Linked DNA regions of Oryctolagus cuniculus. The protein of the gene in region 4 interacts with the protein of the main gene of each other region in a biochemical or structural test. Links are inferred from orthologs where the notes say so. Each region holds a gene or a part of one and is shown on either strand. Other genes may lie near its edges. The genes, in order: FASLG, KHDRBS1, KIT and LYN.

Evidence for each region.
Region 1: the proteins of LYN (region 4) and FASLG form a complex in vitro, tested with the Homo sapiens proteins (2 studies listed by BioGRID, with this or other methods). The link is inferred for Oryctolagus cuniculus from reciprocal best matches to the Homo sapiens genes LYN and FASLG.
Region 2: the proteins of LYN (region 4) and KHDRBS1 form a complex in vitro, tested with the Homo sapiens proteins (3 studies listed by BioGRID and IntAct, with this or other methods). The link is inferred for Oryctolagus cuniculus from reciprocal best matches to the Homo sapiens genes LYN and KHDRBS1.
Region 3: the proteins of LYN (region 4) and KIT form a complex in vitro, tested with the Homo sapiens proteins (2 studies listed by BioGRID and IntAct, with this or other methods). The link is inferred for Oryctolagus cuniculus from reciprocal best matches to the Homo sapiens genes LYN and KIT.

The regions. Positions count from the first base shown.
Region 1 is NC_091438.1:1,338,940-1,346,702, reverse strand, and holds the start of FASLG (tumor necrosis factor ligand superfamily member 6), read right to left. Parts: upstream 4,998-7,763; 5' UTR 4,591-4,997; coding exon 4,231-4,590; intron 3,673-4,230; coding exon 3,624-3,672; intron 1-3,623. UniProt on the Homo sapiens protein: Cytokine that binds to TNFRSF6/FAS, a receptor that transduces the apoptotic signal into cells. Involved in cytotoxic T-cell-mediated apoptosis, natural killer cell-mediated apoptosis and in T-cell development.
Region 2 is NC_091438.1:140,419,984-140,427,808, reverse strand, and holds the start of KHDRBS1 (KH domain-containing, RNA-binding, signal transduction-associated protein 1), read left to right. Parts: upstream 1-3,691; 5' UTR 3,692-3,912; coding exon 3,913-4,294; intron 4,295-7,825. UniProt on the Homo sapiens protein: Recruited and tyrosine phosphorylated by several receptor systems, for example the T-cell, leptin and insulin receptors. Once phosphorylated, functions as an adapter protein in signal transduction cascades by binding to SH2 and SH3 domain-containing proteins.
Region 3 is NC_091439.1:109,616,050-109,623,192, reverse strand, and holds part of KIT (mast/stem cell growth factor receptor Kit), read left to right. Parts: intron 1-917; coding exon 918-1,199; intron 1,200-2,440; coding exon of another isoform or gene 2,441-2,447; coding exon 2,448-2,584; intron 2,585-5,755; coding exon 5,756-5,927; intron 5,928-7,143. UniProt on the Homo sapiens protein: Tyrosine-protein kinase that acts as a cell-surface receptor for the cytokine KITLG/SCF and plays an essential role in the regulation of cell survival and proliferation, hematopoiesis, stem cell maintenance, gametogenesis, mast cell development, migration and function, and in melanogenesis.
Region 4 is NC_091437.1:81,130,594-81,138,282, forward strand, and holds the start of LYN (tyrosine-protein kinase Lyn), read left to right. Parts: upstream 1-3,255; 5' UTR 3,256-3,393; intron 3,394-7,689. UniProt on the Homo sapiens protein: Non-receptor tyrosine-protein kinase that transmits signals from cell surface receptors and plays an important role in the regulation of innate and adaptive immune responses, hematopoiesis, responses to growth factors and cytokines, integrin signaling, but also responses to DNA damage and genotoxic agents.

The DNA.
Region 1 (7,763 bases), on a different chromosome or scaffold from region 4:
CTTAGTGGGTAAACCACCCCCTAGGCGACTCCAGCTTCCTGCTAATATGCACCCTGGGACACAGCAGGAGATGACTCAGGCAGTTGGGTTCCTGACACCTATGTGGGAGACCTGGATTGAGTTCTGGGTTACTGAATTTAGCCCCTGTCTCAGGGCAGTTGTGGACATTTGGGGAGTGAGCCAGTGGATGGAAGTACTCTCTCTCTCTCACTCTATTTCTCCCTCTCAAATAAATAGATAAATAAAATATTTAAAAATATACAATAGTTTTCAAAATAGATATGATTTCTCTATCTTCAAATGTGTCAGCTAACTTGGAGAGGTGCCATTTAGCTGATGATTTCAATAAAGATTCATAGAAAGGGACCCAGCCGGTGTCGGTGCTGTGGCGCTGTGGGTTAACACCCTGGCCTGAAGTGCCAGCATCCCATATGGGCGCCAGTTGTAGTCCCGGCATCTCATATGGGCACCAGTTCTAGTCCCTGCTGCTCTTTTTCCAATCCAGCTCTCTGCTGTGGCCTGGGAAAGCAGTAGAAGATGGCCCAAGTCCTTGGGCCCCTGCAACCGCATGGGAGACCTGGAAGAAGCTCCTGGCTCCTGGCTTTCGGATCGGCGCAGCTCTGGCCGTTGCGGCCCTCTGGGGAGTGAACCATCGGATGGAACACCTCTCTCTCTCTCTCTCTGCCTCTCCTCTCTCTGTGTAACTCTGACTTTCAAATAAATAAATAATTCTTAAAAAAAAAAAGAAAGGAACTCAGCCATCTCCTACTTTTGATTACCCTGAGAAACTCGCACATGGTTTGAGAATGGCCCAGGCAACCAAGGACATGACCTGAGCATCACGCTGTCTCTCACCATCCAAGACAACCCACCACGAATGAGGTGTCAGTGAACAGGAAAGGCAGAACTGAGTCTCTTCTCCATACCTACACCACAAACCATCGAGCAGCTGATCTGGCATTTGGCCAGGTACTGACAGGAAATGCACTTGTTAGTACCACATGTTGCACGTTTTATATCCTACACAGAGCCTAGTAGAATGTTATTCTTCTCACTGAAGATAGACACTGAAAATATCTTTTGGATAAACACTGAAATAAAGAAACTGAAAAAAAATGCCTTAGACATTGGGATGATTGTTTCCTGCCCCAGGGATATTTGCACTTGCCAGTGCTGGAATGCACCCCACCATCACCCACCCTCCTCCACGACACAGACACATCATTCCCCACTTGGTGGGCTCCTGATCTCTTGGGTGTCAGCACAAACAGCACCTCTGTAGAGGGGTTTTCCAGATTGCTCCATCTTGGGTCGCAGGTAGTACAATTTGAAATGATATTTTGTGTTTGCTTACTGTCATTCACCATTCTAGAAAGCTCCCTGAAGATAGCCCCCCTTCTTTCTCTCACTCTCAATCATCATCTACCACCCAAGCCCAGCCTGGCACATGGGAGGCCCTCCAAGAACACCAGTGGATAATTAACTAGTCAATCTACTTATAAAAAGGAAAACAAAACAAGTAATAAATAAGAAGGTATAAATAACCTATCACAGTACCTCTGGGAGAAAATCACTATTAACATGTCATTGTCTTTTAGTTCTTTTCTAAGAATATAAAAATATGAAAATATAATTGCACAGTCAGTATTAAACTGCCATAAACTATCATACACTTTCTGTAACTAATGATATAGAAAGCACAATCCCTGTAGCATTAAATGTTTTTCTGATACATGGCTTTAATTCAGCATTTTTTGCTTATCTGAATATACCATAATGTGCTTAACTAACATATAATGAGGTATTTAAGTTTCTTCTGAGTGTTTTATTTTAATAGCCTCATAATGAAGTGATGAACATCCTTATACAGAAGCCTTTGGGGGCCATAGCTCTGATTATTTTATTAAGATAAAATCTTAATGATGGGATTACAGGCTAAACGAACAATCTCAAGCTTTTGATACATATTTCCAAACTATTCTTCAGAAAAGTTAGGTCAATTTGTATTCACACTAGCTCAAACTAATGCTTAAAGGGACACTTTCCTATCACAGCTTTGGTAGTCTGGATTTTTACTCTTTTTAATGTTTATTAAATGGATGCATGAAAATAAGTATCTTTTTTATAACTGGCATCTCTTATTAGTAAAGTTGTAAACTTGATAATTAGTAGTTGCTAATTTGATAATTCCCTAATTTCTGATCTGTCTGGGTTGATGCAGAGAAGATAAGAGTTTAGTGGGGTAGGTAGACCTGACTCATCTGTTCATTTAACTTTTAACCAATAAAACGCCTCCAGAGAGTGGGTGAGAGATGAGTAATGAGGTACCTGTTTCCCTAGCCACAGTCCCCTGATTTTCAAAGTGACATTAGAAGTCCTCCAGAGGCTGCGTTTTTCTAAAAAGTGTTTCCACTCTGTGCCCCTCCTGAGTTTCTACCACATCAGAACAAGGGGCCAGAGCATCTCAGTGATGGCTCCTACATGAGTTTATGCTCCAGGGAAGTCGCTGACCTGGGCCACCTGCAGTAGGCTATCCTGAGATTGAAACTGGCAGCACTTAATGGATGGCTAGCCCTGCCTGCTCTCTTCTTCCACATTTCTAAGGAAAAAAATTACCTACTGATTTTGCAGAAGTGTCCTGCTTTCCATTTCTTTCTCATCCCCTGGCAATTACAGTCAAGCAAGAGTTTCTGTCTTTCCATGAGGCACCAGTCCACATGCTAGAAAGTCCTGGAAGTGCCAAGGCAGCAGGAGCCTACATCCCTTCTAGCCCCAGCGCCACCCAGTAGTCATGGGCACATCACCCAATCTGTCTGATGTTTTGTTTCTCTTCTGAGAAATGAAATGGGTGGAACTGATGATCTTTAAGATCCCTCTCAGTTCTAACCAAGTTTAAAAAGTCAATTAATCTTGGTTTAATACAAATGGAGCAAATCCTAAAATATACTTGTCCACAGTGTCTAAATCTATGCTCTGAAATTTAATGAAGCCAGAATTCAACACTTTTACCTTTTTCTTGTACTGGATTTCATACAAAGGACTTTCCTTTATTGTCAAAAACATCTCATAGGTAAAGTGGAATAATCCTTTGAATATGGGTTAAATCTTCTCCCAGGCCTCCCCATGACTTCAAAGGAACCATGCTATGTGGGAAATTGTCCACTTATCAAAAGCTTAGCTAAATCTTGTACAATGTCTTAAATGAAGCTTGACTCTTGAGTGATCTCTTTTCTGGAGTTGAGAAGAGGAGAGGACATTTCCCAGAAGTTTCTCTCTTTGCCCATACCTAACTAGGACTCCTGAGGAAGGAGATGGGCCTGCAACCAGCTGCCCAAATGGCAGGGCTCCAGGATTATGTATGTGTGTCTCATCCCAAAGTCAAGTCAAAAGTATTTTGCATTGTGTGAAACACTCAGCTACACTGATTTTGAGCAGTGAAATTCACTTCATATTTTAAAAGATGCTCAAGAAACCACACTGACCAGGGGTTCAGAATTGTCCAAGACTCTTCTCATAATATTCACAAGCCCAGGAATGGGATAGGATTCAAGGTATCCCCCCAACAATGTTCAGTGCTAAGGATTATCTTTGGAAATTCAAATCACATGAATAAAAGGACTCACCTGTTTGCTTCTCCATAGATGATGATGCTGTGTGCCTTTGACTGAAGGACTACCGGAAGAAAGAGAAAAGATGTATGATAAATAGGAAGCTCTTTAATCAGTGGAGGAATTGCCAAATAAGCCAGCCCCCGAAAGAGATTCCAAACTCCTCAGAACCTTTCCTAACTCAGACTTTAGCCAAACAAGTTTGTCTCATTGTCCCTCAGTTTTGTCATTTGAAATGGTACCAGATTTTTTAAAATGTTTTCAAGGAAATTCAGTCTGGTCATTTGAATACATTCACTTCTAAGCAGACTCAAAGTTTTTTTTTTATTTCTTGAATCACTAGATCTGAGGTCAGTGGCTTCACAGACTGACATGACAACTGAAAAAGGCAAAACCATATGGCTCAAATTCTTTACAAGACAGAAAATACCTCTTCATTCATAGGACCCTCCATTTCTCTACCTATAGAATAGAACGACAAGAACAATCCCTTTCCAAGACAAACAGTAAAGCTTGAAAAGCACTTTGCAAGCAAGACAGTGGTCCGGGTAGACCCCAGGAGGCTCCATCCCACAGCAGCAGAGCCCTCCTCCCACCCCAGTGATTGCTGGACACAGCTTACCTCTCTGAGCTCGGCCAACTCCTTCTGCAGGTGGTAGAGCTGGAACATCCCCAGCCCCAATCCAACCAGGGCCACCAGGACCATGAAAAACATCAGAAGGAGGCAGAGGCCTGTGCTGTGGTCCTTCCTCTTCTTCAGGGGTGGTGGGGGCAGCGGGGGCAGTGGGGGCAGCGGGGGCAGTGGTGGTGGTGGTAGCGGTGGCGGCGGCGGTGGCAGTGGTGGTGGTGGCCTTCTTTGACCAGGCCTTTCAGGTACAGAGGATGGACAGGGGAGAACTGACCCTGGAGGGGCCCAGGGAGAGCTGGCAGTGCTGTCCACCCAGTAGATTTGGGGATATGGATAACTGAAGGGCTGCTGCATGGCAGCCAGGGACTCCCAAGGATTTTACTTCTCAGTCCTGTGGAGGCTGCAATGTCGAAGAAGGAACTCCTGCTGCTCACTGTTAAGAGAGGAACAGCCAGCTCTCGCTTTATAGAGTTTCCACACCAAGGGAAACACCAATCAATCTCTCTCTCTCTCTCATCTTCTCTTGCTAGTTCTCAGAGAGACACCCACTCACCTTATATCTGCAGCTGAGAAGCCTCAAGAAGCTCAGAGCCAACCCCTGGAAGTTTCCGCCCACAACTTTCTGATGAAAGCCCCCGGAGCCACAGCTGCCGTGGCTGCGCTACCTGAAAAGGCAGGGAGCCGTGACCGCCTTCCTCGGGCCTGCAGAGCAGGGCAGCACTGGGCGCAGTGCTGGCGCAGGGAGAGTGGCGCTGAGCGGGGAGACTGGAGTCACTTGCAAGAGGAAATCATCCCCCTCCCGCATCCCTTCCCCACACCAAGCACTGTTTACCCGAACCCTGCAAATCACCATAATTTACAGATTAGACCCTGCCCCGCCCACTCTAGAGATTAGATCAGATATGCTTTGTGGATCTCACAGCCTAGCTCTGTTTTTACTTCTTGATGATTTGTTTCTCATTTGTAAAATCAAGACAGTCCACATTAAAATACCTATTTTCATTCTGTTGTAAATATTTTTAAGGCCATCTCCACAAATTCAGTCAGCTGGAGGTGAGGAGCAAGTGTCCCCAGGAATGAGACACAGGTGACCAGGTAGCCCAACCTCCACCCCCAAGGTCCCTCCACCCTGTACTGTGTTTCCCACACCACCTCACCTGTGAAATGGCTTTCTGGCCCCTGTAGGCAGCCCTGTTCATAGCTGCTGTTATGTTTACTAGAATTGCTTGAATTTCAGATCAACAAATAAGCTTCAGGGTATGTATGTCCTAAACAATGCAAGAGTTGTACTAAAATGTTATTCATTGTTTATCTGAAATTCAAATTTTAAAGGGTGTCCTTTTTTTAACTTTGTTTTTTGCTAAAGATGGCAACTGTGCCTGGGCTATGACCTCACCCTTTCTTTTGGTCTCAAATACCATTAATATGCCAATAACTTCCAAGTACTCAGCCTCACTCTTAATCATTCTCCCATAAAAACTGTATAAAATTTCCACAAATCTTCAATTTCTGTTCTTTTGAAGATGTCTACTTTTCAGTTTCATTAGTTTCTACATCACACTGTGAGATTTCTGTGACTGTCGTTCTGGCTCTCTCACGTGGACCACGTCAATACCAAATGTACAAGGGGTTTTCAAGAAGTTCATGGAAAATGTGTACAATGAAAACTCTATTAATGAATTTCAAAATTGTATTGCATCAGAGAGTGGGGAAGGAGGGAGAGAGAGAGAGAGAAAGAGGAAGTTTTCATCTTCCAGATTCACTCCCAAGTGCCTACAATAGCTGGGACTGGGCATGGCTGAAGTCAGGAGTTGGGAACTCAATCCAAGTCTACCATATGGTGACAGGAACTGATGCAACAAGGACAGGAGCCTCAGCCACTTTAGGTTCTTGTTACCCTGTCTTCTTTCAAGAGAGGAGTTCAGTCTCCTTCCCTGTATTGTCCCCCCCCCCCCCCCCCCCCCCCGCATTCTTCCCCAGGTTTGGAAGCCAGTGGGCCAAACCTGAAGAACCAATAGGGAGAAACTCACCTCGGCCTACTGCCCCCAGCCCCACCCCAGCCCACCTAAGTTATAAACAGGCCCAGCCTGCTAGGGTCTGGGCTTCTGCCACGTGTTCCATCTGTGAGCTTGATGGCAGTTTGTCAACCTCTGTGAGTTTATTTTCTCTGAATAAATTTGGTCTGGCTGCGAGTTTGTACCCTGTCTCCTCTCTGTTCTGTGGCCCCCTTTTCCTTACATTTGGTGCCTTGTGTCAGGAGCCACCCATCTGCATTCTTTTCCTTACAGGAACCCACTCACTTGAGCCATCACTGCTACCTCTCAGGGACAGCATCAGCAGGCAGCTGCACTCAGGAGCTGGAGTCGAGTATTGGATCTGGTGGGGGACGTGAGTATCTAAATCAGTGTCTTAACTTCTAGGCCCATTGTCTGTCTTGCACCTAAATAAATTTATCTTTAAATTCCATTTTTTCAAGAACTTTCTGAAGTATCCTCATATTATTTTCACGCCACATTCTCTCCACACAACCCCCACTCTCAAAGCTACCCATTTCTGTCTTGTCACAGCTTCAACACCTCTTTTTTTCTCCTTCAATCTTGTAGGAGTCACCCAGGACTATTGATGTCACCTCAGACATTTTTTTCTTACCCTCCCGTAATGCACCCTCCCACTCTCATTTTCCTTCCTTTTATTGCCTTAGATCATTATCATCTTCCACTTGAAATACTGCGATGGTGCCCTAACCAGTCCCTCTGTCACCAGACTTGTCCAAACCCAAGTCACCCTATAAAATGCTGCAAAAATAGTGTTTTTATCTTTTTCTCTTTTACAAATATTTTATGTATTTATGTACTTGTTTATTTATTTTTAGTTTTTAACAGATTCAATATACTTCATAGATACAATTCTAAGAATATAATGATATCCCCTTCTCTCCCCTCCCCCCTGCCCAAGACTGGTATTTTCAAAAACAAATCCAACGATCCTGTGTCCATGCCTAGAATCTTCTCTTGGAAGGTTTGATTCCAGGATCACCATCTCCCTAGCGTGCCCCAGTGCTCTGCACAGTTGGACTCAGCAGCTCTCACTGCCTCCTTCCAGGCACCGCTCCCCAGTCTGCACTTTCCACTTGGAAGCAGTATAACACAGAGACAGGGGTGACTGTGCACAGTGCTCCTACCATCATTTAGCATTGGTCAGAGTTAGTATACTTTTGAGTTCACATATGACTTTATTCGTAGTTATGAAAGATACTGAATTTAAAAATAATAATAATCAGAAAGTATCACTTTAAGGATTCTATCAGACAGTGGCCGGTGCTGTGGCATAGTAGACTAAGCCCCCACCTGTGGTGCCAGCATCCCATATGGGTGCCAGTTCATGCCCCAGCTGCTCCTCTTATGATCCATCTCTCTGCTTATGACCGGAAAAGCAGTGGAAGATGGCCCAATTGCTTGGACTCCTGCACTCACGTGGAGCACCCAAAAGAAGCTCCTGGCTTTGGATTGGCCCAATCCTGGCCTTTG
Region 2 (7,825 bases), on a different chromosome or scaffold from region 4:
ACAAAGTGCTGATATAAGACAGTCCGAAAGTGTTTACATCCTAGGTTGCACCAGAAGTGAAGGTTAGTAAAAATTAAAAATCTAGTAACTACATGGTAATTAAAATAGAAAACAATAAGCGGGGCTGGCACAGTGGCGTAGCAGGTAAAGCCATCGCCTGCAGTGCTGGCATCACATATGAGCACCGGTTCGAGTCTTGGCTGCTCCACTTCCAATCCAGTTTTCTGCTATGGCTTGGAAAAGCAGTAGAAGATGGCCCAAGTCCTTGGGCCCCTGCACCCTCGTGGGAGACCTGGAAGAAGCTCCTGGTTTCTGGCTTCGGAACAGTGATCTGGCCATGTGGGGAGTAAACCAATGGATGGAAGACCTCTCTCTTTGCCTCTCCTTCTCTCTGTGTGTAATTCTTTCAAGTAAATAAATAAATCTTAAAAAAAAAAAAAAAAAAAAAAAACAAGCAACTCCTTATTTGAAAAAGTAAGACATGCTTTTGTTATAAGGTATGGAAGGTTTTTCTTTTTCTTTTTTTTTTTTTTTCAGGGAAAAAAAGGAGTAATTTTTGTTCTGAAGTAGAATGGCTGGTTCCAAAACGAGAAAAAGGAAAAATATAGGACAAAACCTGAATGGATAAGAAGTTGTGGAATGTTTGTAGAATCTTGTGAATTTTATGTGTGATCAGGCTGGCTAAAATTAGAAGGGAATTCTAAGTCTTTCTAAAAACTGGGTTTTTCATATCAAAAGTACACTGATGCAAAACTAGAATTTGGTTTCTCTGTAAGGCACCAAGGTTTACAATGGAGTGCCAATTTGTTCTTAGTAGGAAATAAAAGTTTTACCTTTTATGTAATTAACTTGGGAAAAAATTATTGTGTGTGTGTGCATTTTAAAATTTTATTTGAAAGGCAGAATGGGAGAGGGAGAGAGAGAGAAGGAGAGAGAAGGAGAGAGAATCTCCCATCCACTGGTACACTCCCCAAGTGATCAAAATAGCAGGGGCTGGGCCAAGCTGAAGCCAGGACCCAGGAAACTCCGTCCAGGTTCCCCATGTAGACCAGTAGACTCAACTGCCAAGCCATCACCTGTTGTTTCCCAGGATGCCCATCAGCAGGAAGCTGGATTGAGGTAGCACAGCATGGGCTGGGGGCACCCCAAGCGGTGTTAACCATTTGGTCAAACCCTCTCCCCTGAGTTTATGTTTTATCAAGATCATTTCTTGTGCTTTCTGCTTTATGGGTCCTTTATTACTTAACAAAAATAAATCTTCTTAATATTAAAAAGCCAAGTTTTTGTTGACACCTATGTAGTCTTCTGCATTTGCTTTTTGAAGTCTTTTGTGTCCTGTGATTCCATCTTGATGAAATATTTTAAACCTTTGATTTTTAAAAATTAATTTTATTTGAAAGGCAGAGACAGAGAAAGACATATATTCCATGTGCTGGTTCACTCCCTAAATGTCCACAACAGCCAGGGCTGGGCCAGGCCAAAGCCAGGAACCAGGAACTCAATCCTGGTCTCCCAGGTAGGTGGCGGTAGCAGGGATTCAATTACTTGAGCCATCACCTGGCGCCTTCAGGGATACACCAATGCAGGATACACCTGTATTCAAAGCCAGGCACTCTGACATGAGATGCAGCCATCCCAAAGTCGGGTTTTAACCGCTGCACTGAATGCTTGCCTTGCCCCCCCTTTCTTTTTTGTAAACTTCCCCACAACAAATTCTAAATTAAGCCTTTGTGACCTCCCCTTAACTTGTGAATTTTCTAGTTGGGCTCCTGGAAAACTTCAAAGGACATGTCTCACATTCTAAAAGAGAATTTAGGTTTACGGGATATGTTAAATTACATGGGAAGAATGGCCAAATATTGATGTGAAGCCTTCTTTAACTTATATTTATCAGATGTTATTGATATGTGTTCCAAAAATTGTATGAAATTCTTAGAAATGTTATGCTGCAATTATGCTGATTTTGTTAAAGTGCTGTATGCCACAGCAATAGCAACACAATATTTTCTTCCAGCCGGCACCGTGGCTCAATAGGCTAATCCTCCACCTTGCGGGGCCGGCACACCGGATTCTAGTCCCGGTCGGGGCGCCGGATTCTGTCCCGGTTGCCCCTCTTCCAGGCCAGCTCTCTGCTATGGCCAGCGAGTGCAGTGGAGGATGGCCCAGGTGCTTGGGCCCTGCACCCCATGGGAGACCAGGAAAAGCACCTGGCTCCTGGCTCCTGCCATCGGATCAGCGCGGTGCGCCGGCTGCAGCGGCGGCCATTGGAGGGTGAACCAACGGCAAAGGAAGACCTTTCTCTCTGTCTCTCTCTCTCACTGTCCACTCTGCCTGTCAAAAAAAAAAAAAATTTCTTCCTACTTGACTTTAAACTACCTGAGTATTCAAGGACAAGGGTCATTTATGTGACCTTAAACTACTATACCAGACACACAACACACATGCCCCACCACCATCACCACCACGGTAGTTTAAAAAGTTGAAGGAAAAATGGAAGTAAAATATATTTGGGTAGGTACAAAAAATTTCGAAATCTATGCAAAAAGTCTTTAAAAATGCAACATTACAAGGATCTCGAAATTGTTTTGCACCAGATTTGTTCCCATGAACTTTTTGACATACCCTCATGTATTTTTATTTATATAACCCATAATCTGTACAAAATTTTTTATGTATTTTGTACTTTATACGTATAATTTATGGATATTAGCGTTTTGTTCTCATTTTAGTAAAAAAACGTAGCCAAGCCTTTATGTTCCCTCATTAAAGGGGTCTGAGCTTCAAATCCAGAAATCACGTTTCCAAGCACCCAGCAGGCAGTTTCCAGAGACGCTTTTGAAAGTCGCGAGCTCATTTAGGAAACAGATCCGGAAGGAAAAGGGATGGAAGGAGTACTCTGAATGGGTGAAGAAAAAAAAAAAAAAAAAAAACCTGCGGCCGGAAGGGAAAGTTAGAGACGCGCCAGGCGTTCGATGACTGATAGTAGAGACCCGGGCTCCCCCGCACGCAGCTCCCAGACCCGAGCCGGCCTCGGGCGAGAGATCCGCTGCCCAAGGCCCTCGCCTCAGCACGGCCGCCTGAGACCCGGCCTCTGCTCACTCCGCGAAATAACCGCTTCAAGCGGGAAGCAGGCTGCGACACGGACGGACTTCCCCGACTAACCACGGCTAGCGTGTCAGAACCTAGTGTGCGGGAAACCTCGGGACAGCACGGGGCTCCCTGCTACGCTTCAGGTCTCCGCCCTCTCAGTTCAAGTCTCCCAGTCAGCCGGCCGTCCCCAGCGCCACCACGCATCCCGGCGTCAGCCTCTCCCTGCGCCTCCCTCCCCGCGTGCCCCACGCAGCCAGCACGTCTTCACGCCGGTGGCCGGCCCACACCCCCCGCCCGGCTCCGCGGCTCGGCCGTTGGAGGGGGCGTGGCCCACGAGTAACAGGTCTCCCCCCCACCTCCGCCCCACGCTCGCCGCCGGCCCGCGCTCAGACAAAGACATTCCACAGCCCCCGCCCCCTCCGCGCACCCGGTCCGAAGGGGGAGGAGACACGTGTCCCGCTAGCGCCGAGTCACGTGGGAGAAAAAACGAACGGAGCCCGCGGCCGTCCGCGCACGCGCGCCAAGCTCCGGCCTGGCGGGCTCCGAGGGAAAAGAGGAGGGGGGAGGCCTCCGGTTCGGGCACCACGGCAGTGCGCAGGCGCCGTGGCCCGACTGGGGACTTTGTTCTTCGCGGAGAAACCCAAGGGCGGTGCCGGGATTTGGTGCGCACGCGCGCTGCCTCATTTCCGGTGCTCTCTCTGGCTGGGTCGCTCGGGTCGGCTTCGGTCGCTGTTGCTCCCGCTCTACCACCGCCGCCGCCAACCGCCGCCCGGGCCTCGGCCGCGTCGGTCCCCTCGATCGCTCGATCGCACATCCTCCGCGATGCAGCGCCGGGACGACCCCGCCGCGCGCATGACCCGGTCCTCGGGCCGCAGTGGCTCCATGGACCCCTCGGGTGCCCACCCCTCGGTGCGTCAGACGCCGTCTCGGCAACCGCCGCTGCCTCACCGGTCCCGGGGAGGCGGAGGAGGGCCCCGGGGGGGCGCCCGGGCCTCGCCCGCCACGCAGCCGCCGCCACTGCTGCCGCCCTCGGCCACGGGTCCCGACGCGACGGTGGGTGGTCCGGCGCCGACCCCGCTGCTGCCCCCATCAGCCACGGCCTCGGTCAAGATGGAGCCTGAGAACAAGTACCTGCCCGAACTCATGGCCGAGAAGGACTCGCTCGACCCGTCCTTCACTCATGCCATGCAGCTGCTGACTGCAGGTGAGCGGGCCTCGGGGTCCCTCGGGGTCGCTGGACCACCGGGGCGGGAGGGGTGCGGGAGGAGGTTGGCAGCGGCTTTGTTCCTCTGGCATCCCAGTCCCTCGGGACCGTGGCGGTCGGGAGCTCCCCCTCTGGCCCTCGTCTTCGGGGGCCTGAAGCCCGCCTTCCCACCCCGGCGCAGGGTTGCTGCGGGCGCCCGAAAGCGACTGGGAGATCTCCGAGCGCCGAGCTCCCCGCCCCCTTCCCGACCCTCCCCCTCCCTCCTCTCGCAGCTGCCCCGCGCTCCGAGTGCTCAGATTCTTCCAGAAATGAGCCCGTATCTCCCGCGTCCCCCCCGAGGGGAAGGCTCTTGGGTGGCGGGGAGCGCCTCGGCCGTGGGTGTCGGCGCTGCAGGCAGCCCGAGCCGGCGGGGATCGTGGGAGGCCGGAGGGCCCTGGCCGGCGCGCGGGCGTCTCGCGGGCCCGGCCGCACTTGGCCGTCACGGGAGCTGGAGTTGCGCCGAGGCACAGCGACTCGTGGGAGTCGGAGCTTGAGGTTTTCCGAATCAGATGTCCGAATCGGGCAGGTGAAATGAGGATTGTGCAGAGCCGGAAGGTTGTCGCCGTTTTATTTTACAACGTGCTTTCAACCGTCATTCAAGAAGCGGGGAAGCAGCCCTGGGGACAGTGAAATGAGATGACGGGAGGCGGTAAGGGCTGCAGGGGAGCTCCCAGGACGGGCCCCACCGCGAGGGACGGACCGTGGAGAGAAGTTGCTCGGTGCCTGCACCTGGAAGACTTGGCCTTTTGTGTTCATTCTTGCTTCCGTGGCGAGATAGATGGGAATGGTAGTCTTTGTTCTCCGCGGACGGGAGCTTCTTCCCTCGGCAGCCCTGACCCCCTCCCTAATCGCTCTGATTTCTCACTGCAGCCTCTTTTTGACCTTTTCTTATAGTTAGAAATGTTTTTCAAAGAAATATTTATTATACCTAAATGGTAGAGTAACAGTTCATGGCCTTCGACGCTGAATGAGAAGTCGGAGCCATTGACAAGATTGATACAAGGGACAGTTCATTGACAGTTCATTATGAAAATCTCATTTCCTTCCCTTTGTTCTCTCTCCCAACACTGGTAAGGGTTTTTTTTTTTTTTTAACGCAATAAACAATTAGAAAATTTCGATAAATTGCTTAAGATCTTTAACTCAGTTCTGTGCTGTCCTATATAACCACATTCTACTTTTCCTGTTTTCTTCTGACAGGCTCTTTGAGAGCAAGAATTGCTTTTTATATTTAAACATGTTTTTTGGTACTGTGCTGGACATAGCAAACTCCAGGTGTTTGAAAATGTACACATGCAAACTCAGGAATGTCAGACTAATTGGTAAAGTTTGGTTTAGCAGTCGGATTTTTAATTTTCTCAAATCTTCAGGCAGTACGCATTGCATTAAACGCAGGAGAATAAAGTACACTTTAGAGCCTAAAGGTGTTGACTTGGTTCTCAGCGCTGGCCCTTAATTAGTTACCGGCTCTGGGGAAGCTTTCTGAACCTCAGTAACCTCATTTGTAAAGTGGATGGTAAGTTTGGAAGATTAAATGATCTGTAAAATCACCAGCAGTTTCTTTTGATCTGTATCATTAGCTAGAAGAAGCTGTCACCACAATTTTTTTCTGGTTGTGAATCCATGGTAATGAACAAGGTATGAGAACTTAAGATATATTTTGCCCTTCTGACTATCTCCATTGCCCAGCGTGATGTTCATCTTTTAAGATAGTTTCTTAGGATAACCATTAAAAATCATTGATCCTTAAAGATTATTTATATTTTTCATTCTCTCACTGCTCCTTATTTTTTTTCAAACTTGGGCTTTTTTAATGCCTTTTTTTTTTAACCTAAAGAGGATGGAAATATTGAGAACAAAATTGGGTTGTGTGGATACTTCTTAGCATAGAAAAGTCTTAATGTTTGTTGGATATGGTTCTTAAGGTATTTCTAGAGAAGAGATTACAGTGAAGTCAACCAATCATAAGGAAATGAGACTGAGAAGAAAGAATAGTGTTTAATCCCTGAGAACATATATTAGAAAAACAGCTAACGTTGTGTCAGGCCCTGGATTAGAGCACTTTACATATTCATGACAACACTAGAAGTTATTCTTTTTTTTTTTTTTTTAATTTATTTGACATGTAGAGTTTACAGACAGTGAGAGAGACAGAGAGAAAAGTCTTCCTTCCATTGGTTCACTCTCCAAATGGCTGAAACGGCTAGAGCTACGCCAATCAGGAGCCAGGAGTCTCCTCCTGGTCTCCCATGGGGGTGCAGGAGCCCAAGCACTTGGGCCATCCTCCACTGCCTTCCCAGGCCACAGCAGAGAGCTGGGCTGGAAGAGGGGCAACCGGGACTAGAACCCAATGCCCATATGGGATGCTGGCGCCGCAGGCAGAGGATTAACCTAGTGCGCCACGGCACCAGCCCCAGAAGTTGTACTCACTTTTACAGATAAGGAAAGAAAGCCATACAGAATATAATTTGCTTAAGGTAACAATTAATAAGCCACATAACCAGGATTTAAAGTAAGTCTGAGTATGAAACCATGCACCTAATCCTTTTCCCCTCCTCCACACTATAATGCCTGCTAAAAGTTGTAAGCTTTCATTGGAGAAAATAAAAATCTTATGGAAAGTATCAGAGTGCTGACAAGACAGTGACAATTGAGGCCAAATACAGAAGAAAACCTAGCACAGAGCCTAGCATTTGGAACTGTGATAGTCCAGGCACCTCTGCCCATTCCTGAAAAGGTGCCCTGCCAATCAGACCACTCATTTGCACCACTCACAGCTCCCCCGTCCCTCTCCTAGGTTTACTTTATTTTGTACTTAACAGCATCTGGTGCACCATATGTTTAATTAATTGCTTTGTGGTCTGCTGATCACCTTCACCTGGCTCCTCCGTGGCTGGAAGGTCAGCTCCGCCAGGGCAGGCATGTTCTGTGAGCTGCTTTCACCACTCTCACCTCCTGTACCTTGAAGAGTGCTGCCCAGAGTGGCCTCTTATTAATGTTTCCCGAATGAATAATGAATATTCACCTTGTGTGGTGAAAAAATATTGACACATTTTGAGGAATGTAGATTTTGAATATTGACTTCTGTCCTAGCCAGATCGGTATTCAGCTGTGATGACAATTAAATGTATTTGCAGACATGCAAGAACTCAACCAACCACCCATGCTTATTTTCTGAAAGAAATATAAATTACCTTACTATTTATGTTAGCATTTATATAATAAATGTAAAATGCTGATATGTATGTCAACGTTCATTTTCTGCTTTCTACCATTAGGAAAATAAAAGTGTAAATGACTCAGGAATAAACAGTGCCTAGAACATCTTGATGGGCTACTCCAAAACTGTCCTTCAGAGAAGCTTACAGTGGAGAACATCATGCAGTCTGTTGAAACTTACAGATAGTTAATTCCTTGATTTATGATATTTTATAGAACTATATCAAGACCGTCACGGTTCATTCTACAGGACAGGCAAAAGCTGTGATTAAAA
Region 3 (7,143 bases), on a different chromosome or scaffold from region 4:
GCTCTCACGGGAGTCCCGGCTCGGACGAGAAAGCGTTTGTCCTGCGTTCATTCCTGACACCGATGAGCCCCCTCCCCTTGGTCTGCAGCGACGGGGTTTGCGGAAGCCCTGCCCACACGGGGCCCAGGAGGACGTGCAGAGAGGGGCTCGCGCGCTGCCTGCACTGGGTTCCGGGGCTCCTCCCCGACAGCAGCTGTCACTGTCACCCTGGTTGTTACCCCTCTGCAGCCACTCCTGTGCTGTCACCTCTTATGGAGAAACAGCTTTGCTATCTTCAGATGCTCTGGGGGTCTTTTATTTTTATAAGGTTAATTAATGTATTTGAAAGTCAGGGTTATAGTGAAAGAGGCAGAGACACACATGCACACACACGCACACACACACCATTCGCTGGGTCACTTCCCACACGGCCCCAACAGCTGGGGCTATGCCGGTCCAAAGCCAGGAGCTTGCACTGGGTCTCCCACCTGGGGCACGGGATTAGCCGGGAGCTGGATCAGACTCTACCTGCTGCTCTTATGGGATGCCGGCGTCCCAGGCAGCGGCTTGGCTTAACCCTTGTACTGTAACGCCGGCCCTGTAGCTTTCAGATTTTTGGATTAGGCTTGCTCAGCCAGGAAAGTTTATGCAAATATCCCAAAATGCTAACGTCTCTGAACTATGAAACACTTCTGGTCCCAAGTGTTTCCGTCGGAGATTCTCGGCCGGCAGCACCCATCACACAGGGGCCTATGGAAGATTAAATAAGATAAAAAAATGGGTGGTGGCTCAGGCTTAGTGCCCGGCTCGTGGAAAGTGTCTTAGGCGTGTTAACTCTTTCTCGCCAGTCCCGTTTGCATGTGCTCCAGTTCTGGCTGTCACGCTGCCTGCCGTGTCAGCACAGCCGCGCAAGCCACTGACGCCCAATGTGTTTGTAGATCCGCGGCAGCTGTTCCTCGTGGGCCTGCCCCTGTACGGCCGAGAAGACAGTGACACGCTGGTCCGCTGTCCGCTGACCGACCCGGACGTGACCAACTACACCCTCAAGGAGTGCGAGGGGAAGCCTCTCCCCAAGGACTTGACCTTCGTCCCGGACCCCAAGGCCGGCATCACCATCAAGAACGTGAGGCGCGCCTACCACCGGCTGTGCCTGCGCTGCGCCGCCGACCGCGAGGGCACAACCGTGCAGTCGGAAAAATTCATCCTGAAAGTGAGAGCAGGTGGGCCCCCTTCCCTCCTTCCTCTCCCTGAGGGTCGGCCCGCGGGCGCTGGCCCCTCCCCGTGGGCTGTTCCCCAGCCTCGCGGGAGCACCGGTGCTGGTGGAGCCTCTGTTGGAGAGGCCCAGCCCCGCACCCCTGGACCACGGCCACCTCTAGCCGAGGCAGGTGCGTCTGCCATGGACCGGCATCCGTGCTGGGCACGGTCATTACCGGCTGTGCCTGCATCAAGTGCTGCTTCCCAGAGACCCCCTGGACAGCTCCCACCACACTGTTGGCAAAGCTGAGTTGTTCGTTTTGATTGGCTATTGCACTCTCTCCCGCTGGTTGACTGCAATGCATCCTGGGACCGCGCGAGGCCTGGGGAGGAACGTGCAAGCTGACCGTGAACTTGTCATCATGTGGCATCCTGCAGTGTTTTGGTGGCTGGGATAATCCAGGTCTCTGTATCTCAGAGGCCATGTGATTCAACACCAGCTGTTCAGTAGGTTTTTTTTTTTTTTTTCTTTCTTTTTTTTTTTTTTTTAATTAAGGCTTTTGGAAAGATGCCCTCATTGAAATGAAGGAAGGTTTGCTTGTTTAAAACCTGGGGTGTTCAGGAAGAAGCGAGGTGTTACTTCTCTGTGTACGAGAGAGGTCTGTGTGGATAAGAGAATATAATCCGTTAGAGGCCACATGCTCAAGAAGCCATCAGCAAATTCACACCATTTCACAGAGTTGGGGTAGTGCAGAGGGGAAGAGACAGGGCGATCTTCTACCCTCTGGTTCACCGCCCCCCAGGTGGCTGCAGCAGCCAGGGCTGGGCCCAGCCGGAGCCAGGAGTTTCAGCCGGGCCTCCCACGTGGATGCAGGGGCCCAAGGACTGGGCCGTCCTCTGCTGCTTTCCCAGGCACATTATCAGAGAGCTGGATCGAAGTCGAGCAGCCGGGACTCGAACTAGGGCTCAAATAGATGCGGGCATCGCAGGCGGTAGCTTAACCCGCTATGCCAGCGCCAGCCCCTTCTTCCTGTCTTGAGCAAGCCTTTTCCAGAGGTGTTACAGTCCCACAGGGGACATGTCTGTCTCTTTCACGCAATATTGATGAATGTGCTGGGTGGGGGCGCGGGCTTCCCGGCCTTCCGGGGAGACCGCAGGTCAGTGCCGGGTTCCAAGACGATGAGGTAAGCCGCGCCCTCTGGGGAAGAGGGACGCCGGCGTCGCCTGCTGTGCCAGCCCGGGCTGTGCGAAGGCCCCCTTTCTTCCCGCCGTAGCCATCAAGGCCGTCCCGGTGGTGTCCGTGTCCAGAACGAGCTGCCTGCTTAGAGAGGGGGAAGAGTTCTCGGTGACCTGCACGGTCAGAGACGTGTCCACCGCCGTGCTGTCCGCGTGGCTGAAGGAGGACGGCCAGGTGAGTGGAGGCTCCTCCTCTTTGTTCTCCCGGGGTTCTGATGTGTGGGGGTGCCCCGGGGCCGGGACCCCACCGGCGAGGCGGCGCTGCGCGTGGAGACGGGGCCTTTCGTTACCAGTGACGGGTCCGCGTGCCACCAGGAGTCGAGCTGAGAACGGGGGGCGGGGGCGGCACCCTGGTCTGCAGAGGCCTTCCCTAGGGAACTGGAAACCCGCAGCTCTGGCTGATCCTTCCGTATCGAAGGCCAACAGAGCGTCCCCGATGTTAACCAGAAAGCTCTTTGCCGAAAGACGGCCTGCGTGTGCGTCAGGGCAGCCCGTCTTGCCCGCGCTGCTCGGAGCCGCTCACCTGGGGCTCACTTGCTAATGGTTTTCTGTTTGTTTTAGCAGCTATTAATATAATGGTTATCTTTCCCCTGAAAGCTGTGGACGTATGTAGCTTCTCATTCATTTAACAAATGCACATCGAATGCCTGCTATCTGTCAGATACGTGGTAGGCGTATCTTAAGCAAATTTCAGGAGTTGTATTTGAAGAGGTATTTTTTCCCTCCCTCTCCTGTTAATACCAAGCGGAGTCTTTGAGCCGATGGATTTCCTACCATTCTCCTTTACAATCCCTGTTGAGTGAGATCGCAGTATTTTTTTTTCAAGTCCTCTTGAGCGTGTGGTTGGTCGGCTGTCCCGAGGCTTCCTCCTGGTTGCAGGATCCCTGAGCACGACACGGAAAAGTGTAGGGTGGAGAATGAACTGCGCGGGCTTCAGACGAGTTTTGCACCGAGATGACGTACCCTTCACTTGGGTGCTCCCCTGAGCTTTTCAGAGGACCCGCGTGAGTGTGCGCTGTCTCGGGCAAAGAGCCACGGCTTCCTTCCTGCACCCCCCCACCCCCGCATCCCCGACACCGGCAGCTCCGTGCCTGTTCAAAGCTCTCTGCACACAGGCCCACGGTGCCTGTGCCCTGCAGAGCGGCGGCGGGGGTGCGCAAGCCGACTGTGATGGATGGTGTCTCGCTAATGAGGCCTGCTGGTGCCATGGAGAGAGAACGGCTCTGTTCTCCCCTCGCCCTTTCAACCCCGTGGGAAGTTTAGTTCTCAAAGCGGATAATGTAATAACAGCGGTAGCTTAGGTATAGATCGCTGGCTACCCTTACAGGACGCAACGCCACGTTAAGTGGCTTCCTCCAAGCCTTGATTCCAGATGAGAGGGCAATCTGGACTCCGTGCGTGTGTGTGCGCGCGCCTCTGTGCAATTTGAAAATTAGCCTTTTTGAGATGAGAGATTCAGTTGCCTCAGGCAGCCTTGTTTGAAGCCATTTGTCCCAGGAGTGCTGTGTGCCGTTCCCAATTAACCCACGGGCGCTGGCGCACACGCCTTCCGAGTCGGGGGCTCTTTGGGGAGGTCCCAGCGTGCGCCGCCGAGGGTTAAGGAGAGCCAGGCCGCGTGCAGACAATATGCAATGCGTGACTTGCAGATGGGCTCCTGGCCTCCTGCCAATCTGTGTGGCTACCCTGTGGTTTAATTTGGAGTGCTGTTAGCGCGATCAGATTATTTTCCAGATCCATAATGGTATTTGGTTCTGACCACTTAGAATAAGTTTAACCCCCAGCGAGACCCGGGGCCACGTGGCTTCAGTGTTGTTGGATTTGTTTCTCTAAGCCTCAGCGTCTTGGACTTTATTCAGTGCTTGCCGGTCTTGGTTGGGCCTTCCAGGGCTTTCTCCTGGCCTTTGGTGATCACCCCCAGCAGTCTTTGGGCCCGGCTGCCCCATCCGTCCCTGACCCACTCTGAGTTCCCGGGCAGCTCCCCGTGTGGACGCCTGGGCTGTCTCGGCTGCCCCGGCCATGTGCAGAGCCAGGCAGCCTGCCCGTAGGAGGCGGCGGCTGTCTTCCAGCCTGCACAGGGCCTCCTGCTGCCTGTCTGTTCTCCCCTCCCCTGTTCTGTGTCCCCAACTCGTGTGTGTGTGTTTTGCTTTTCGCTAACCGCTGTACAAGGCCCTTCAGAAAGTGCGTGGGAAGTGGAAGTCAAAGATGAGCTTATTTTGGTAAAAAATTTTTTTGAAATTCATGCATATAAAGGGACTTCAGAAAGTCTCTGAAAATTGTATATTTTGAAAAAAAAAAAAAACCATATTCTTGGGTTACAGGTGTTTTGGCACCGAAGTGACCTTTTCATTTTTCTAGAAACTTCTTGGAGTGGTCTTGTGCACACGTGCCTTTGGCCCGGAGGCCTGACGTCCGCCGCCCACGATAGGTGTCTTGTCAGTGGGTTGCTGATGTCACCAGGGAGGAGCCACAGCGTTTCTGCTCAGGCTTGCGTAGTTTTAGGCTTGGCCTGCGCGTTTCAGAGTCTCTGGGACTGCTCTCGGGTTGTCGGGATTCTGCTGCGTAAGGGCTGTGGGTGGCTCTGCGAGGTGGTTGACGACACACGGATTCCATCCTAATCCCCACAGAAGCAGCCGCTAATACCACAGAGCACGGTCGTCACGCACATGGTTTTAGATCACAGGAAATACTTATAAGTATTCTTAGATTGTAAGATGCCATAAGGTTTTTTCTTTTTTTAAAGATTTATTTATTTATTTATTTTTATTTGAAAGGTAGAGTTACATAGAAGCAGAGAGAGAGGTCTTCCATCCACTGGTTCACTCCCCAGGTGGCTGCAACGGCCGAACTTGGGCCGATCATCGAAAGCCAGGAGCTTCCTCCAGGTCTCCCACGCGGGTGCAGGGGCCCAGGGACCTGGGCCATCTTCTGCTGCTTTCCCAGGCCACAGCAGGGAGCTGGATCGGAAGCACCCGGGACCCAAACCAGCGCCGATATGAGATGCCGGCACTACAGGCAGTGGCTTTATCCGCTATGCCACAGTGCTGGCCCCTCATAATGTTTCTTATAAGAACTTGAAAGTTAGTGCTGCAACTTCGGAATTACACAGACTCTGGTCAAGCAATGAATTTTCATCTGCTCCCCGCCAGTCACTAGTACCGACCGTCTCTCTTACGGCCCTGTGATAGGAACTGCGCCAGCGACACCTGTGGCTTTAGTATTTCCCCCTTAAGTCACTGTAATGAATGCAAATATGGAGACATTAATTGCTGCTATTTTTAATTTAGGGAAGATCTGAATATTAATGGTATGGTAATTCTGGATTCTCTTTGTCCCCTCTGGGAACCAGCGGACAAACGGCCAGGTGAGGCGCCACAGCTGGCATCAGGGCGACTTCCACTACGAGCGCCAGGAGACGCTGACGATCGGCGCGGCGAGAGTGGCGGACTCCGGGGTGTTCATGTGCTACGCCAACAACACCTTCGGGTCGGCGAATGTCACCACGACCTTGAAAGTCGTAGGTAAGTACTGCCGCGGGAAGCCACACGTTTGGCAATCATGGAAGAAGAAATGACGAGCCAGTTTCCTTTCAATGTTAATGCAATGCTAAGCAGATTCTTGGACGTTGATCATCACCAAGTGAATGAGTGAGTGAGTGAGTGACTGAATGAATGAATGAAAATATCACTGCAATTCAGCACCAAAGCAGATTATTCCTTTTTTCGCCTTGAGGAACGCCGCAAGCTGGGCTTTTTCCAGCGGGAGCCCCAGCCCTGGCTGAGCTAGGCCACTGTGCAAGCAAACTCAGCCTTTCGCTACTGGGGGCAGAGCCGGGTCTCTCTCCTCATCCGGGTCACGCGCGCTCCTCTGCCTTCTGCCGCCCAGTGGCTCTGTCTGGGGCAAGGGTGCCCAGGGCGCCCCCACCTCCCCTGGTCTCCAGCTTCGAGCACAGAGCAGCACCCTTGAGGCAGGGAGCCCCCGGGGTGCAGCCCAGGGTGCAGATGGGGTCCCCTACCGCACATCAGCCCTGTGGGCCTCCCTCAGTGTTTTCCTCGGCTGATGTGCAGAGAGAGAACGAGAATAATTGCTTCGAAATGGCCTCTTTGACCTGTTTTTCTTTGAGTGTCGTCCTGTCCTGCTGACCCAACCTGGTTCTTAGTTGTTGACGGGGCCGCAGGGCTCAGCAGGGACGACAGGAAGCAGTGTCTGTGTTCACCCCGCCCCACCCCCTCCCCACAGGGGTGCCTCGTGCCCCGGGCAGGGTTGGAGCCCGCGCTGCCCCACGGTGATCCCCGAGTGGCTCCCGGCTTCTGCCCGGGTCAGAGCAGAGCGGGAGCTGTCCCCGACCCCGGGTCTGAACGTGCAGAGACCCCTTCCTCGCCGTCCCAGGAGCAGCGGGAACGCGTCCTGCCCGTCCCTCCGCGTGATCGCAAGCCATTTATTAATTGCAATGGAAGGCTGTGCTTTTAAAATATTAAGCTCCATAAGCGCTAATTTGCTAAGTTGATTAGGGAGCTTGTTGATAGATCAGCGTCAACTCCAGGAAAGCAATTAGCAAGACTGTTTTGAGCACATCGCTGTACGTAATCGGATTTTTAAAATCCATTCTTCAGTTTCCAAGAATTATAGCCGCGTGCCTGGCAGGGCTGGCAGCCGTGAAATCTGAATCCGGGCTGTGGCGGGCCAGGAGCGGGAAGAGACGTTGAGAGGCCGGGCAGGGATTTGGACGAGACGTGG
Region 4 (7,689 bases):
TTTGCGTACTCCCTCCTTCTGGCCTGCCAATCATAACCTATCCTATCCTCAAAGACCTGTCAACTCCACCAAGGGAACCTTTGTTGATTTCCACCTGCCTGTGATCATTCCATTCTGTGCTTAATTTCAAGAATACTGTTGAGACAAATTATTCAATCAATTAACCAATCAATAAATACCAGTGAGGTATTTTAGATCACTCAATAGAACTTTGGGGAAGTACACTGCAAAATGGGTAAACACAAGAGGCAGTTCCTTCCAAAAACGAGTTTGCTATCTACTTGCAGCTGAAGAGAAAAGGCTAACTAACGTGAAATGAAGGCACTAATGCTCCAGAGTGCATAAGTCTAGTTTAATGAATGTTACACACTGCTAAAGATGCCTAGAAAAGAAGGCTACCAATGATGGCTTTCACTGAGAAATAGGACTTTCATGGTACTTTCCAGAAGATAGATGTGGAGAATAGGGAGGAAGTTTTCAGAAAGGATCAGTACAGATCGAGACGTGGGAAGGGGAAGAGTTGCTACTTCCAAATAGAATAAAGCGATGAACTTAGCTAGGATGCTTGCGTGTGTGTGGAGTTAGGAGCAGAGATGGGTGCAAGCTTAGGTCTACCTTATGTTTTGTTCCCTACTCCAAGAGACATTTTACCAAAACACAAACAAGATATTCCAGATGGGTTAATCTAACATTAAGCTTTTTTTTTTTTTTTTTTGAAAGTCAGAGTTACAGAGAGAGGGGAAGAGAGAGAGAGAGAGAGAGAGAGAGAGAGAATCTTCCATCTGCTGGTTCAAACCCCAAATGGTCATAACAACAGGGACTGGGCCATGCTGAAGCCAGGAGCAAGGAGCCAGGAGCTTCACCCAGGTCTCCCACATGGGTTCATGTGGCCCCTGCACTTGGACCATCTTCTGCTGTTTTTTACAGGCCATTAGCAGAGAGTGGGATTGGAAGTAGAGCAGCTGGGACATGAACTGGTATCCATACAGTTGCATTGCAGACAGCAACTTTATCCACTACACAATGTTGGCCTTGACATAAAAAATTTTGTACCATTTTATTATTTGCCTCATGCCTTCAGCCAGGATCTCGAGGACTCATTGTTAGCAAAAGATACTTTAGGACAAAATATTTGCAAGGTCATTGTGAAGAGCAGTTCAGGAAGTGAACCCTGGGGCAGAGAATTCTTGAAAGGTGTTCCTCATAGGCTCAATACCTTCCCATGGTTACCCACCCACCTATTCTTCAGCAGGGAAGTAACTGATACATACTGCAAATATCATAGGTATGAACCATCCTACTTTTTTTTTTCTTTTAAGGAAGTACAGTCACATGTCACTTAATAATGGGGACGTGTTCTGAGAAATATGTTGTCCAGTAATTTTGCCATTGTGTCCACATCATGAAGTATACTTGCACATACCCTGGTGATGTAGGTCAGACACACCACGAGGCCTCTTTATTAAAAATTTATTTTAAATTTTAATTTATTTATTTGGTTTACAAAGAGTTAAGAAAGAGAGAGATAAATATAGATAGATAGAGCACTTCCAGCCACTGTTCACCCCTCAGATGTCCTCAGTGACTGGCGAAGGGGCTGGGTGAGGCTAGACCAGCTCAAAGCCAGGAGTTGGGAACTCAATCCAGGTCTCCCACATGGGTGACAGGAACCCAGTTACCTGGGTCATCATTGCTGGTGCTGCCTCCCAGGATCAGCATTAGCAGGAAGCTGAATCCAGGCACTCTGATGAGGGATGCAGGTGTCTCAAGGAGGTCTTAACCACTAGATTAAATGCTCCTCCAGCCCCTACCCCGTGTAGCCTCCTGATGTAATCAACACACAAAGTGTGGGATGTATGAGGCTGCTGGTGGCATAGCGTGGGACACAGTTTTATAGTAAACTTTTTTTATATATAAGTAGAAGGAGTAGACTATAAACAGTGATAAAAGTATAGTAAATGCACAAACTAGTAACAGTTGTTTACTGTCATTTTCAAGTATTGTGCGCCTGCACATGATTGTTTGCACTGTACTTTTGTATGATGGGAAGCACAGTAGGTTTGTTTAAACCAGCACCACCATAAACATGTGTATAAGGTCTTGCACTGCGATGCTCCTATAGCTAACTACAGCACTATGTGATAAGAATTTTTTAACTCCATTATAATCTTATGGGACCACCCTTGTATGCTTGGTTTGTGGTTGACTTAACAGTCCTCATTTGTCATTTGACTGTGCTTTGCAAGCCTTAGTACTCTTTTACTAGTAACAATGACTACTGTATCTGATTGTGTTACAGTATGGCTGCTTTGACCTATCAGAGGCTAGCTGGAGCTAGCTGCTTAAGAAAACAGTTAAAAGAGAGCATGACTGGTGCCAACAGGCCCTATCTAAGATTTTGCTATTAATACAAAGACCAACTCTCCTACAGAGAGTAAATTCGGTAAGGTAAAACAGTGCTGGGATCTTGGTGAACAAGTGAACTGGCTTTGAGCAAGTGAGCAGCCGCAGGGACTTAGATGTGTGACATTTATTGAGTTGGAACATGAACTTGAACTTGCGATCAGTCTTTGAGCCAACACTGGTTAGACACCTGCTATGTGCCATGCCCTGTGCCTCATGTGAACTCTCTACAGAAGGCCCTCGTAGGAGGTAGGAATCCTTATCGCCATCTTCCCGAGGAAACCGTGGCCATTTAACTCTGCTGCACCTCCAACCCCCAAGTCAATGCCTTCTTCCCAGGGTACATCTTTGAGGGCTAAGACCTCAGTGAGACCCTAAGATCATGACAGCACTTCTCATCTCGCTGGAGAGAGTTTAAAACGCTGGGAGGAATCAGAAGACCCTCTGTCCCAGGAGCACTAGGCTTCCTAACACCTTGGAGAGCAGATGAGAAGGAGAGGAGGGGAGACGAGATCAGAGGACCTTCTGGGTCCTCTGGCGATCTCCTGTCGGCCCCTACAGAAGGACGTGGGGCCCCACGCTGCTCCACTCCCCGGAGTTGCATGCAGGGTCGCCAGGGTTCTTTGCCCGCAAAGCCCCGCGCGACGGCCACAGCAAACACCCAAACCTTGGGCAGGGACCAAACGGTCACTTCCCCGCCCTCTGGGCGCAGTATGCAAATCCCAGCACCAGGAAGTAGCTGGGACCTCTCGGCCAAGCCCGGCGACAGCCAGTTCCTCTCCCACCGCGCCGGGCCGCGTCGCCGCTCGCTCCCTGCCGTGGCGCCCACGGGCCCCACGCGCGCAGCCCCTTGCCGCGAGTCCTGCCTCCCCCCCGCCACGCTGTCCCTCCCCACGCGGGCCCCCGGGGCCGCGCCGTCGCGCCGCCCGTTCTGAACTAAGTCACCGTGGAGCACCACCGCCACCGTCCCGAAACTTTCACCGCGAGCGGGTGAGTCCCGGGGTGGGCGCGCGTGGCCGGGCGGGGCCCGAGGCTTTGCCACTGGCCGGGGTCCCTGACACCGGTTCCGTTCCGGGCCGAGGGCTAAGGCGCAGGCCGCCGCAGCAAGGGTCCCGCACCGCTTCCTGGCCGCACCGGCGCCCAGTGCTGGCGGTGAAGGCACCAGAGGACTTGTGCTCGTGGGTGACTCAGCCCGGGGAAGCGAAGACGCGGGGGCGGGAGGGTCCGCAGGTGTCGCAGCCGAGGCGCTCAGGGGCGCGGCGGGATGTACGGTCGCGAGCACCCAGCGGATCCCTCCGGGTGCGGTCACCGCTCGGGCCACTCCCCGCGCGCTGCGGGGAAGCCTCTGTCCACGCGCAGCTGGCGCGGCGGGGATCCTGGAGGGAACTCCTCGGATTGCGCAATCTGGTCTCCCTACTAGGTCCTGGGTGCCCAGAGGTGAGCGATGAGGCTCGGCCCGGGCCCTCTCCCAGGCCGGCGGACAGCTGCCCTTCTTGGTGGCCCCGGCAGGAGCCTGAAGTCCAGGGGCCGTGGTGAAGGCGGCAGCTCAGCCTCCCGCTGAGCGGGCGCCTCTTGGCTGCTGAGGAGTCGTCTGATGCCTCTGCAGCGAGAGGAAGCTGGAGTTATTTTAAGAATTCAGGGGTTGCCTTTCCTTGGCCTTTGGGGGAAGGGTGTAGGCGTCAGTTCCCACTTTCCTGCCTTATCTAGGCCGGCTGAGGCCTCCTCTTGATTGCCTGCTGTGCATTTGTGATGCTACTTCTGGTAGCTCGCCTGTCGTGTGACCCTGTTTGTAAGTCGGCATATGTGTGTTAATTACTCCAAATTTGCCCAGTCTCTTGGCCATCCAGAAACCCGCGTGGGAATCCAGGCCTTAGCTGTCTTTGAAGGGAACAGATGATTGAAAGTCCTTTTCTGAGTTTCTCACCTTGGAGAAAACCTACATACATCCTACCTCTTGTACTGTTTAGTACATATCAAGTCCCTTGGACATTCTGTGCACTCCATAGATGGTGGTTACTGTTATTGATTGAAATTAATTCCACAACAACACTCCTTGATTCTTTGCCGGTTGGTGATCTTAAACCTAAGACTACACATCTGATTGAGCCATCTGACTTTCTTGGTAAATCTGCTTAATAAGTACAGGAGGGATTGGCTGTCCTGGAGCAAGGCCCAGCTCTCTGATTAGCCCTCAGAACCCACCAGGAATGTTTGACTCTTGGGTGGCTGTATGCTGTCTTGGCTGTGCCTGTGTTTTCTTTGCACCAGTAACACCAGAGGCAGTGCTAGGGGAGTGGGTGCTCAGAGTCCAGGAATTCATTGAGTCTTTTCTGAGTAAGAGTAAGCTCTGCAAGGAAAGGGTGGGATCTGTTAGTCCTCCATCTTTCAGAGATGAATGAGGAGATGAGGATTGGGTAGACATAATTGGATCGCAAGTGCTTTGGGTAATGGGGCCTCTTTGGGATGTAAATGAGTGACCATCTTCCTAGGTGGGGGCATATAAAGGCCAAAGATATTAGGGGACAGAATAGGAGCCAACAAACCTGAATTTTGGTTTCTTCTATCATTTGCCAGAGTTGTGCTTTGGGATAAGTCACTGGGGCCATCCATGTAGCCAGCATTGCCTTCATAGCAGCAACTAGACTGACATTACAATTTGTCCCTATGCCTATAGACTGTATCCTTCACCATGGAAGGTCCTGAAGCAGTTATGACAGTTATGTGTCTAGCCCTGGTGCCTAGCACACAGTTGGCGCTCAGTGGACATTACTTGGGAAGAGGCATGGAGGCCTACTGTGAATCTGGCCCTGTGCACAACTCAGGACAGAGAGAGGGGAAACAGGGCTGTCCCTAGGTGGTTGAAGCCAATTGGTGCTTTCTGTCTTTGTTTCTAAGGCAGAGATTTAAGGGACTCTGTTGACCATAAAGCTACCCAGAAATAGTGTTCTGCACCCAGGACTGTCTGCACTGCTCTATTGCTGGAAGAGAGGACTTGCTGTGGAGCTGTAAGACCCATCTTGGAAAGGAAGCTGGCCTGTCTCTTTGTCTTATGGTCATTGCTGGTGGTTGCAAAAGTATGTGGAGACTGTGCAATATCCTCATCCCCACCCCCACCACCTTCAGAGGCTTCTGTTTAGCAGGAAAATGATCCAGCACACTTGTGAATCAAAGACTTTCAAAACCTGTTAGTGCCATTGGCATTCGGATTCAGAAATAAATCACCAAAACATTCAGTTGATTGATAGGAATATGTAGAATTTTAATGCAACAGAATTAAACAATATGACCATATATAAATCCATGCAGATCTTTTTTTTTTTTTTTAAAGATGTGTTTATTTATTTGAAAGGCAGAGTTACAGAGACAGGGGCAGAGAGAGGCAGAGAGAGAGAGAGAGAGAGAGAGAAAGAGAGGTCTTCCATCTGCCGGTTCACACCCCAAATGGCCACAGTAGCCAGAGCTCAGCCATTCCGAAGCTTCCTCCTGGTTTCCCACATGGGTGCAGGAGTCCAAGGACCTGAGCCATCTTCTACTGCTTTCCCAGACTATAGCAGAGAGCTGGATGGGAAGTGGAGGAGCTGGGACTTGAACCAGCGTCCATATGGGATACCGACACTGCAGGTGGTGGCTCTACCTGCTATGCCATGCTGTGAGCCTCTCCATATAGATCTTACAAGAATACAATGTATTGGAGTTCACAGCATTGGACCTTGTTTCAGCTCCCTGGTACTGATGGTCTCTGTGATGGGAGGGTTGTGTTGACATTGAAGAGACTTGGCAATCATTAGTCAGGATGTTGAGATATTGGTCAAAAACCCACTGATGGCAGAAATGGCCGCTGATCTTTCTTGGGCAGTTATGACAATTTGCTTGTCCAAGGCTCTGGGAGCTTTTTGACCCTTGATTTCATCTGAGTCTCTCCTGTCTCCTACAGGATAGGCAGGAACAGATACAAAAACACAGATTGAGGGGCTTGCCCCAGGTCACAAGCTAAGTGTCACATTAGTCATTAGTCATGATTGTTATGTTTTCTGACATTTTCTACCTGTCCCCCTTCAGACCTGTATTGGGTTCTCAGCTACTTAAAAGAGACATTTTAAAAATCATTTAAGACTGGTGCCACGGCTCACTAGGCTAATCCTCCACCTTGCGGCTCCGGCACACCGGGTTCTAGTCCCAGTCGGGGCGCCGGATTCTTTCTCGGTTGCCCCTCTTCCAGGCCAGCTCTCTGCTGTGGCCAGGGAGTGCAGTGGAGGATGGCCCAAGTGCTTGGGCCCTGCACCCCATGGGAGACCAGGAAAAGCACCTGGCTCCTGCCATCGGATCAGCGCGGTGCGCCGGCCGCAGTGCGCCGGCCGCGGTGGCCATTGGAGGGTGAACCAACGGCAAAGGAAGACCTTTCTCTCTCTCTCTCTCTCTCTCTCACTATCCACTCTGCCTGTCAAAAAAAAATCATTTAATAAATATTTTAAAAATAGAGACAAAGTTCTTTTTATCATGTGGTAATTTTCTGAGCAAAGTGGCTGCAGCTCAGAACATTGGGACAGTTGTGTGGTTAAGCAGGATTGTCTGGAACTGTGTCTTTGAGCATAGCTTCCTGCTGGGAGAGTGGATTTGAGGAATGATCTACAATAACTGCTATGGTGACACCAATATTGACTGCTGTTCAAGTAGCTGTAGCAGCAGCCTTGGGGGCTATTCGGTAATTATTGATTAATACAGAAATACCCAAGGAGTATTTGGCCAAAGGACTTTGTTCAGCCTCTGCCAAGAAGTGTCTCCCCCACGAATCCTATCTGAGCCCCTTTGTTGGTTGTTACAACAATGAGATAATCTTTAAGTTAAAAATATAAACTAAGGGGACTGGGTACATAGGACGTGTGTTAAAGCACATGTCCCATTTTCTGAGCACCTGCTGTGTACAAGGCACTATTCTGGGCCAATTTTCCTGTAATGAGCATGGGTTGTCTCCCATTCTTCAAGGTTAATAATGAAAAGAAGGACATGGAAGAGGAAGTTGGCTTTTTGTTTCAGTTAGAAATACTGAAAGATTTCTTGTAGCCGTCTAGTTTCCTGGTTCTTAAGTTGTGAGACTTTGAGTTCACTCTATCATCATTTCTAAAATGTTTTGTGAGTAAGTTCTCATTTGGGAGATACACCCAAGTCTAGAAAATGGTATGGAAATTTGCCAATTGAGGAATTGGAGATTTTGTAACAGATCTGTGTAAGGACTTGGACCTTCTCGTAGGTATTTTTGGCTTAAGTTATCTGGAAGGACTGAATTGT